Saccharomyces cerevisiae S288C: one gene and its partners. Changing the gene in region 3 together with the main gene of any one other region gives a genetic interaction. Each region holds a gene or a part of one and is shown on either strand. Other genes may lie near its edges.

Region 1 (3,214 bases), on a different chromosome or scaffold from region 3:
CTTGTATAATTAATGCCATATATTTTGTCTAATTGAACAAACTCTGGGTATAGCTTATCGACGAACTTTTTTGGCTGATCGAAGCCATTGCTTTCACTAGCACACTGGATTTTCAATCCATGTTCATCAGTACCTGTGGTAAAGAAGGATAGATTACCTTTAAATAATTGCCATCGATGGTAAACGTCACTTAATAAGCTGGAGTAAAGATGGCCGAGGTGCGGTTTGGCATTGGGATAGAAAATTGGCGTCGTTACGTGGGAGACCTTAGAGTACAGACGATGCACAATTGATCGACATTGCATGTTTTCTTTCGATCAAAACCTATGCTTTCCTTATTTACCTCTGGAGAATAGTAACATTAAAATTTACATTCTTTTTTCACAGTTGTGCGGATTTATTTGTTTGAAACCACCATTGGACTACGTTTTAGTTTTTAAAGAAAGAGAAGGCACTTCGTAATCCAATGTTGCCTAGTACTGGTATTGCTTGCACTATACAAGGAAGTAAGTGTGATTATGTAATGCTGTATACACTCTTTATTCAAACATAGTTCAGAAAAACATATATACAAATATCGCCCCTAAGCCAATTCCCTTCAGACAAAAATTACCATGAGGGCAAAAACACTGTAGAAAATCAACAGTGGGTAGGCAATTAGCAATCTTGCATTTTGCAATTGGAGCAAAGAATTTAAAAATCCAGACGAGGTCCAAGTACTCCAAATTACAAATAGTACTGATACAACATAACCTGTAGTGTTGTTCAAACCATGGAAAATGCCCAGTAAAGAAAGGAAACACAGAGGCAAAAAGCAGTATCCTAAGATGGACGCTGTATTGAAAAATTGTAGGTTCGTTTGAGTGGAAGTATCGTTATTGCTCATTAATTTCGATAGATTGTGCAAAGAAATGGTACCAAACAAAGCGACACCATAGATATATCCAAAATGAACCTTTCCAGCCATCAATAGAAAAAGTCCGAATAACAAAAAGAATATCAAAGGCCCAGCCAAATCTGAATCGTTTAGAATTTCTTGTGGCACACCACTACCAAAACGTATTGGTATAAGAACCATTTTAGTTTTCGTTATGATATGATCGAAATTTATTCCAATTTCCTCCAGTAATGGAGGTTCATGTGGATATCCCTTAGTTGAAAGAGCATGTAAAATACCTACAGGCAAAGGGTCGGGGGCAACACCCAAATTGTTATCGTTGCCAGTATTAGAAGAACCGACGGTATTTTGAAAACTCATTGACCCTTGGGGAACGGCAAATTGTGCAGAAGGCTGATAAAAGCCACCGCCATTATTAGCATTGTTACTAGTATTGTAGAAAGACATCTCGAGAGGGACTAATAGTTGTCTTGCAGTACTTCCCGTCCAATTTGTAGCTGTTATAAGATGACTTGGTTCGTGTCACGTAGTTACCTCACTCAAATAGCAAAATAATCAATGGTTACCCGAAGTGAAAATTTTCGTGATAATAGCGATGAGATTTAAACCCAGTTATAAAAGTCGTACAATATTGAAGCTGTTGATATTGGAATTGAACAAGTACTAACGAGATACGCATTATCAAAACTAACGTAACAAGCACTACAAAATGGGTATTATCGACAAAATCAAAGCCATCGAAGAAGAAATGGCCAGAACCCAAAAAAATAAGGCCACAGAACATCATCTGGGTCTTTTGAAGGGGAAATTGGCTAGATACAGACAACAACTGCTAGCTGATGAAGCTGGTAGTGGTGGTGGAGGAGGGTCTGGTTTTGAAGTGGCAAAATCAGGTGACGCTAGAGTAGTTTTAATAGGTTACCCCTCCGTCGGTAAGTCCTCCTTATTGGGTAAAATTACCACCACCAAGTCTGAGATCGCTCATTATGCTTTCACGACATTGACATCCGTTCCTGGTGTATTGAAGTACCAAGGTGCAGAAATCCAAATTGTGGATCTTCCAGGTATTATTTATGGTGCTTCGCAGGGTAAAGGTCGTGGTAGGCAAGTTGTTGCAACAGCAAGGACCGCAGATCTAGTATTAATGGTTTTAGATGCCACAAAGAGTGAACATCAAAGAGCATCTTTGGAGAAGGAGCTGGAAAATGTAGGCATCAGGCTTAATAAAGAGAAACCAAATATTTACTATAAGAAAAAAGAAACTGGTGGCGTGAAAGTTACGTTTACCTCCCCTCCAAAGACCAATTTAACCGAACAGGCAATCAAAATGATCTTGAGAGATTATCGTATCCATAATGCAGAAGTTCTGGTAAGAGATGACCAATGTACGATTGATGATTTTATCGATGTTATTAACGAACAACATAGAAATTATGTCAAATGTCTTTATGTGTATAATAAGATAGATGCAGTATCATTAGAAGAGGTGGATAAACTTGCCAGAGAGCCAAACACCGTTGTTATGTCCTGTGAAATGGATTTGGGATTACAAGACGTCGTTGAAGAAATTTGGTACCAGCTGAACTTGAGTCGTGTGTATACAAAGAAGAGAGGTGTTAGACCAGTATTTGATGATCCTCTAGTGGTAAGAAATAATTCCACTATTGGTGACTTATGTCATGGTATCCACAGGGATTTCAAAGATAAGTTCAAATACGCATTGGTTTGGGGTTCTTCTGCCAAACATTCTCCTCAGAAGTGCGGCTTAAACCACAGGATTGATGATGAAGATGTAGTTTCTTTATTCGCGAAATAGTATAAATGAATAGATTTTAAAGAAACATGAAAAAACAAGATCAGCATCGAGAACTGTAGTACGGAGCAGAGATTTTGCATGACTAAACGGACTCATTTTCCTTGTAGTAGAAATAAATGCTGAAAATAGGTTTTTTAGTGAGAACCGGAAGGTGTTACTTTCATGGTATATTCGTATATACTTTTATAATGTAATTTGAAGAGCTCCGTTCATAAAAATTGTCATTCTGGGCTTCAAATGAATAAATAAACCCGAATGACAATGAAATCTCGAAATTATAATAGTGGTACCTAGTGTAGTAAGTATAAAGGAACCTTCTCTGTTGTATCTCAGAATGGGATACCTCAGTATGACAATACATCATCCTAAACGTTCATAAAACACATATGAAACAACCTTACAGCAAAACGAACAGAATGAGCAACATGAAAATAAAACTCTGCCTTCCTTAGCTAACCTACTCTAACGTATAAGTATCTGAACAATTGGTTTAGATCCAA
Region 2 (4,740 bases), on a different chromosome or scaffold from region 3:
AATAAGAAAAATAAGATCCATTTGCGGAACGCTGCCTAAGGCACTCGGTAAATCGTCACTTAGCTGATCATCGAGTAACGTAATTTTCCTTACAGGAGTTGATTGAGTCAAATCTTGGAAAGTTAGCAAACTATTGAGTACTGGCAATACACTTGGTTGAACCACAAGAACTTCATCATTTTGAGATATCTCATTTAAGGTAGCACATAGTCCATCGGCATTTGTTAATGAAAATTTCTTAGTATTCCAAAATCTATTCATCGTGAAATGATTTGATAAAGTTGGAGATGGGCAATATCAGCTTTTTCTTCCTTTCTCGAATTTTCTATCTTTTAACTAATTAACATATAACTAGTTCCAATTTGCTAACCTTTATGATATTTTATTTATGTATGTTCGTGTGAAGTGATTAATATATTATACAAAATGACCGGAGTTCAGTATAATTTCTATCTACTATTATTGAGCACACAAAGGAAAAGAATTGACTATGAACAAGCTTACGAAGATGAACCGCTTCTTAGAGCAAACTCTTCATAATAAGAGAGCATTTCTGGAGTAATGCCCCTAGCAATTCCTTTAAAAGCTTTCTCAAAATGACGTAATTCCACTTTTGCGACATCTAAATCTTCCATTATGGCAGCCAAGCCCGCTTCTTGACAAAGCAGCACAACTTCAGCTCCGGAATAACCTTCTGTACGGTCTGCCAATTCATGAAGATCGACTCCAGACTCTTCTGTATTAAATTTCTTTGTGCACTTCTTTAAGATTTCCAAGCGGGCGTTTACGTCTGGAGGGCCAACGTAAATGTGTCTATCTAACCTACCAGGCCTTAGAAGAGCAGCATCTATTTCATCAGGTCTATTCGTCGCCGCTACAATAACTACACCCTTTAACTCTTCAACACCATCAATCTCATTGAGTAAAGATGTGAGCACGTGATTAGCTGCAGAGGTGGAACTCCCGTCTCTATCAGGAGATAATGCATCGATTTCATCAAAGAAGATAATACTTGGAGCTGCAGAGCGTGCTTTGCGGAAAATTTCTCTTATAGCTCTTTCGGATTCCCCTACATACTTGTTAAAAATTTCAGGCCCTTTCACAGCTAAGAAGTTGATACCCGATTCTGTAGCGAGAGCTTTTGCGGTTAATGTCTTGGAGCAACCTGGCGGCCCGTAAAGTAATACACCTTTTGGTGCAGAAATTCCCAGCCTGGCAAAAGTCTCCGAAGCCTCCAAAGGCAACTGTATCATTTCTTTCATCTTTGTTTTAAGCTCTTCTTGGCCGCCAATGTCAGACCAATAAACTTTTGGCATTTCTAAGAAGATTTCTCTCATTGCGCTGGGTCTGATATCAACCATGGCGCTCTCCACATCTTTCAATGTAACTTTTAGGGAAAACTTGTCAATATTGGCGTCTGTTCCTAGTCCTCGTTGTATCGTCTTCATAACTGATTCTCTGCAGAGAGCAGTTAAATCAGCACCAACATAGCCATGCGTTTTAGAAGCAATGTACTTGATCGCTTCAGAATCTAATACGTGACGATCCGAGGACATTCTTGAGAATTGCTTAGTTAAAATGTCAAATCTGGCATCAACGTCTGGTATACCAATTTCTACTTCTTGGTCAAACCTGCCAGGTCTCCTGAGAGCAGGGTCGACAGAATTAGGCCTGTTTGTAGCAGCAATTACCACCACTTTACCTGCAGCGCCCATGCCATCCATTAGGGTAAGCAATGTAGCCACGACTCTGCTCTCAACTTCACCGGAGTCATCGTTTGCTCTATTTGGTGCTATTGAATCAATTTCGTCAATGAAAATAATGGAAGGCTGGTACTTCCTTGCTTCATTAAAAATATCTCTTAATGCCGCTTCCGTTTCACCAAGATATTTGGAGACGATTGAGGGGCCATTAATGGTTAGGACGTGTGCGTTGGACGTATTTGCTACAACTCTCAAAAGCATAGTTTTACCAGTACCTGGGGGTCCGTGAAGAAGTATACCTCGAGGGGGAGAAACACCAAAGCTACTAAATAGCGTCGGTTGATGAAGAGGTATTTCAATAGCACTTTTCAGTGATTCAATCTCCTTGTCTAAGCCGCCCACTGCTGCATAGGATAAGGGCTCCGGAAGATTGTATTTACGATTTGCCTGGGTTTCTTTCGAAAAAGTTATATGTGTGGAGCCTTTTCTGAATATAAAAGGTGGAGATAGATAAAACAGGTTATCTAATCCACCGTACATATCGTCCATGTTAAGATCTAGTTGGCTGACGTCGGGAAGCGAATCATCGCTCGCATCTGTAATTACGACATCAATGCTTTCATCACCTGCTTTTGTTTTTAAGTTTTGAAAAATCATTCCAGGCATTATAACGCCACTATCATCCAGTAGCTTTTGAATTACTTTTTCCTCCATACATTCCAAAATATTATATCCTTGTAAGGACCCCACGGTAACCTTAGTGGCATAAGGTGGTTGCACCTGGGCTTTCTTTAATTCTAGACGATCACCAAGGATAAGGTTCCCAACAGATCGTATAGTTGTGGAAAGGGTGATAACATTAACAGGATGTACTTCTTCATCACCCGCTCTAGCTATTACTAAAATACCATTTTCGCCTATCTTACCGACAGTACAAAATGATCCCGGATTTATCTCAAGCGAGGATAATACGTTAGGATGAATATATGCTGTGCATGTTTCCTTGCCATGATCTTTAGAAGGATGTGGTCTGGTAATAAATTCAGCAGGCAATTTAAATTTGGATGCTTTTGCATCAGCACTATTAGAACTTGCCGATGATTTCTTTTTGGAACCGGAAGAACTAGATTTAGGAGCCATTTTCCTTTCTATGATTGGGCAATTTTGAGAATGGGCAATGTTGAGAATTCAATTGTATATTGTTCGCATATTAGTTTATGTGATGAGGCAATATAAAATTTTCTTACAATAGTCCGCCCGTTGCTTACATGAAAGAAAAAAAAAATAAAGATGGATCGAAGTGGACTTAAAAACTATGTATACGTGTGTGTGTGTGTGTGCAATAAGAGTTCGAAAACATTAACTTTTATAAACATGACTCACATTGAGAATAAATGAGCTCTCTATAAATACAAACTTGCGGCGAAAACAATATCTCTCTTAATCAACTCTTGAGCCCTGCTCATCTTCATATGTAATGTGGAATTACCAATAATAATAGAGGCAGTCTTAACTTCGCGGCAAATTTCGTCTAGCCAAGTGATAACTCTGACTACAGTACCTTCAGCCTCGGGGCTCATTTCCATGATTTCTTTGAATGATAAACCACGGGCCCACTCATACACCACATTCATCATGGCAAACCTTTTTCTGTCCAAAAACTCAGCTTCATCCTGAGTTAATGGAATCTGATGCGTATTGAAAACACAAAGCATTTTCTTGTAAATTTCCTCAATTCTTTGTTTACCCTTTGCTAGCCTTGGTGTGACAATAGGAGGCTCCTCTTCCCTGGTTTTCCCCTCATAAACAAATACTGATAATAAGGCTACAATCTCTTCAGGTTCAAAGCTTCCTAAAAAGTTGTCTAAAATTAATTCAGTTAAAACTAACTCATAACCAGAATTAATTTCACATGCCACTCTACCTTTTAACAGCACGTTGTGGTTTTGGTCGATAAATTCAGTGTCTTTCAGAACAGCCAATCTCTTTTCATAATCGGGTAGTAAGCTCAGATTTTGGTCAGACATCAAATGGTACAATTCTTCAATTTTCTTTTTAATTACATGCGCCTTAAACTTGGGAACAATGTGTTGGCTTAGGTTGGGACATTTAATGCTTTTTAGTTTGAATATCTCATCCCTTATATTTGTACGGTCTAACAATATTTGGTGAATTTTTAAACCTTGCTTTTCAATGTTAATTGCTTCTTTTAGCGTTTTGCCGTCCAAAATGTTATTTGTTTCAGCGTTAAACTCGTTCAAAGCGGCAACATCCTTTTTAATCACTTTTCCCAAGGGTGCGGCAAACTTGCGTTTAGTGATCACTTCAATAGCCGTCACAGGAACTTCTTCCATATAAAAATCAGTCTTCTGGAATTTAGGGAAGTTCCTTCTTCTGTATCCATCCGCTTTTGGAAAGTATATTAAATGATTTGGCTCACCATTTGGGAGTTTGTATGGTTTTGTGAACGTCATAATGACACAAACAGCATCCTTCAGAGAAACTTTAAATACAAATCCTAATTTCAAGCAATCATTGGGGTCCCTAAAAGCAACGAGTCTGCCCTCTTTCAAGATATGCAATATCGAAGGCGATTTAACCATTTCTTGCATTAGGTTGACTGTTGCCTCCTTATATGCCAGCATCAATTCCAAAAACTTTTCGATATCATTATCACAGATTTCACAACTTTTGTACTCTATGGTTTGTAATTCCTCTTGTAATACTTTGATTTGTTTTTCATGTTCAGGTTGTAAAGTTTCTTTGGCATTCTCACTAAAAGAATACTTGATCATTTCTTCAACTCTCAACGCCTCAATTCTTAAAAGATTTAATATCATATTGTATGTTAATCTAAACTGAGACTGCAACCTCGTCGGAACACCCATCGTTACTTCTTTGAACGTAGCAATAGATAAAGGACTATTATATGCCATCACAATGACTGTACCAGTGGAATCCAAGCCCCTTCTACCAGCTCTACCAGCCATTTGGGTAAACTCACCTGGAGTCAGTTCTCTTAATCCATTACCATCAT
Region 3 (3,419 bases):
ATTTCCTTGTTTGCATATTATTTTTAAGTACAAGCCATGTAGTTTTTATCAATTCTACCACGACTATGCTTAAGTTTTTATCATTTATTAAGGTCTGTAAATGCACCTTGGCATCAATTTGATTATTGATGTAGTTGGTGATTGATGTCTCTAGGATTTTAGTAAACGATGTTTGTTTCTCTAGAATTTCCTTTGGCGATTGATCTAAGGAATTCTTAAAAGAATGTCTTTTCAACATACAAAGGTACTCCGTCATAAGTAATATGTCGTTGGGCCAAATCTTTAAATAACGCGATACTGTCTCATTGAATATGTTATTGAATAAGGTATTATTTGACCGATATTTTCTTTTCAAAAACCTAAGAAAATCATACCTCAAAGTTTTGAAATCCAGTGGTAAGAACGTATTGGCTTTTTGGTATATATCCACTACCACTTCATCGGATATATTTTTCTTTGTTAGCCACTTAATATACATCATCCACGTATTTTCATGGTAAAGACAAGGAATCAAACATCTGTCAAAAACGGACATTACGAATTCTTTATCCAAGGATTTTGAAGGATCCGTCACAAATTTTAAATATCGCGACCAATTTTCCAAATCATCATTTAACACTTGGCCCAGGTTGAAGAAGGGCTGTTTGATTTTCGATTCGAACTGCCAAATTTCATTTACTGTTGTTTGTGTTTTTCGTAAAACTATATCAATATTCCTTGTTGTCTTCAAATTTTTTTCATTTAAAAACTTCTTGTAAGATGTGAAAAACCGCGCATACTGATGTAGAGGAACTTCAATAATGTACTCGTATATTCTTTGAACGTTATGCCAATTCTTCTGCCCAACTTCAAATTCTATAAACTTGTCCCAAAAAGGGTGTGATAGAAACTGCTTGCCAATAAGATCCTTTGCAATTTCAAAATTATTCCTAATAAAATCCGTTTCGTTCGGGTTATTAACACACAACACATTCAAATAATCACACCATAACTCCAGAGAAGTTGGGAACCATTTGACCGAGGTGGCCAGAACAGCAATCGATTTCTTGAGACCAAATAACTGGTACTCAATAGTAGCAAACCTCTTCCAAAATCCAAACAATAAAGGGTACTTACGCAATATTTGCCATAAAATAGTTTCCAAGGCCAATTTGATTGAATCATTTGGATTGCCATATTTAACCACTGTTTGCTCTATAACATCTACCATTTGGGTCAACGAAGAAATATCTGACCAGTCTAAACCACGATATGCTTGTACTAATGCTGTGTTGTCTTGAAGGAACTGGGTGTCCAAACCTCGAAGGGCATCAGGCCTAGGCTCAATATCTTCTATTGTAAAATTTGTTTCATCTGGCATAACGAAAGACGGATTGCCAAGTATCCAATAGCAGTAAGGGCCAAAACTTTTTGTTGAACAAAGAAATGGCTGTGGAAGGCGCGTTTTTACTTTAGGACTTTGAAAACTTTCTTGCGTAAATTCTGTTTAAGTCTGAAACTTTCAACTCTGTATTAAATTTGTTTTAAGATGTGCGACGGCGACGTAAAATGGTAAAGAAAAAGAAAATGAATGATAGTAAATCATACTGAAAACGAATGATCTGAAACAATAAAAAAAGATATTTGTATATAAATTATTCAGCCATGCTCAAACCTCCAGATTAAAAATCAATAATGGATTAATTGAAAGCCCTGGAGCTGGCATTTTTTACCACATTGTCTAAGAGGGAAAGGAAAATGACAACAAAGCGCTAAATAATGGAATCAAGTTTACAAAAATTGAAATTCCAGGATATTGACATAAATCTTATTCCTACTGCGAAGTGGACCACAAAATTACAGTATATTCTATACACCTGGTGTCAGTCGATACTACATGTGGCCATGTTTTTTTCTGATATATACACGTGTATTAAATTACTGGCATTTAACACATGGTCGAACAATATCATCCAACCATTCTTGGAATTCCGTATTTCAAAATGGTTGTTTAGCGGATGCATATTATGCTCCTCATTAATATTAATTTGGGAGTTGGTAATTGGATTGAGAGTGTATAGGAAGAAAGAGATTACATCGAACTACATGAATGGCATTAGCAGATTAATAAATTGCTTGTTCAATTTCAAAAAGTATCAAATTTTCGAACTAATAGTGCTGACTGATGAGAAAAAATTCAGTAAGTGGTTATTCTTTTCATATTTTGAAATCAGTGGATGTTTGAGGCTATTGTTCGGTGACTCTCCAAGGCAAATAATCAACGGATTAACTTTGTGGTCAGTTTTACTGACAGTTTCGAATGAGACCAGTAGCGGAACCCATAGTACTCAAAGCCTAGGTAATTTAGATGACCTAAATGGAATAATAAACAAGATAAAACATATTGCTAAGACAAATTACGAAGAAAGTGTGATCTTGTCCTTCATGTTGTTCTCGTTTATCATATGGGTAATTTTAATAAGCAAATTAATTCTAAGCATAATAATATTCATCATTTTTATACGTCCGAGATTTTTGTCTAGTAAAAGGAAGGTTAAGGGGTATGAATTGAAACTACGAAAGTATGTGTCTAAAGTCATTGACGAGAATTTAAGTAGAACTGTCTACGAATTGGGAATATTGATAGATGATGAGGAAGAAGGGACCATATGTGGTGACAACAAAACGCAAAAAAAATTCGATTATGATAGTCCTGATTATGGCGACGAAAGCACAATACCGAGTTACTACTGCTACTCGGATGTAGAAACGTACGAAAGAGTATATACGCCCATAAAGGCATATTTCCCCCAGAAATACAAACATAAATACATATAAATGTAAACGAAGCTTTTTTTGACTGCAAAAATGCATTAAAAGTAAATCGATTCTCATTTATTGTATATATATTGTATATATTGTATGAAATATTTATAATGATAATGATAGTAACAAAAACCATTGATGGCTATAAACAATGAAACAAAAAAAAGCACTACGAAAACAGTAGATTCGTGAGGAATTGAAAAAAAGAGTGAAAAAACTAATAAAAACAACGAGAGTAAATAGGATAGTACAAAAATACTAGGAGTAAAAAAAGGCCCTCTAGTAGTAGTAATAGTAATAGTAATAGTAGTAGTACTAGTAGTAGTAGTAGTAGTTAAAGGCTATGGTTGAATAAAAAAAAAGTCTGGATGGTAGTGTTTTGGTTTTACAATTAATTAGATTTTTTCAAATCATTCTTTTTTATACCAAAAGTAGCATCATTGTTTGATGCTTTCTCTTTCTCATCAGCAATTTCTCTTCTGAGCTTAACTAGCGAGGCCAGTTTTTCATCTGGTTCATAAATACCAAACCTTCTAAACCTCCTAATTTCAGCATTCATCTTACCAATATCCCCGTCATACTCTTCCAAGATCTTCTTTAGATTGTTTTCCAGC

The links.
Region 1: mutations in PRM6 (region 3) and RBG2 together harm fitness more than expected from each alone (negative genetic interaction), as found in Saccharomyces cerevisiae (one large-scale study listed by BioGRID).
Region 2: mutations in PRM6 (region 3) and AFG2 together harm fitness more than expected from each alone (negative genetic interaction), as found in Saccharomyces cerevisiae (one large-scale study listed by BioGRID).

The regions. Positions count from the first base shown.
Region 1 is NC_001139.9:842,247-845,460, forward strand, and holds RBG2 (Rbg2p), read left to right. Parts: upstream 1-1,607; coding exon 1,608-2,714; downstream 2,715-3,214. Other genes in the region: methionine--tRNA ligase MSM1, read right to left, coding at 1-305; transporter YIP1, read right to left, coding at 599-1,345.
Region 2 is NC_001144.5:912,050-916,789, forward strand, and holds AFG2 (AAA family ATPase AFG2), read right to left. Parts: upstream 2,844-4,740; coding exon 501-2,843; downstream 1-500. Other genes in the region: tethering complex ATP-binding subunit VPS33, read right to left, coding at 1-261; SKI complex RNA helicase subunit SKI2, read right to left, coding at 3,107-4,740. UniProt on the Saccharomyces cerevisiae protein: ATP-dependent chaperone which uses the energy provided by ATP hydrolysis to generate mechanical force to disassemble protein complexes.
Region 3 is NC_001145.3:179,415-182,833, reverse strand, and holds PRM6 (pheromone-regulated K(+) transporter PRM6), read left to right. Parts: upstream 1-1,758; coding exon 1,759-2,817; downstream 2,818-3,419. Other genes in the region: PRP39 (Prp39p), read right to left, coding at 1-1,360; GSF2 (Gsf2p), read right to left, coding at 3,197-3,419. UniProt on the Saccharomyces cerevisiae protein: Low affinity potassium transporter that, with KCH1, participates in high-affinity Ca(2+) influx system (HACS) activation during the response to mating pheromone. Directly promotes K(+) influx and HACS may electrochemically respond to this K(+) influx.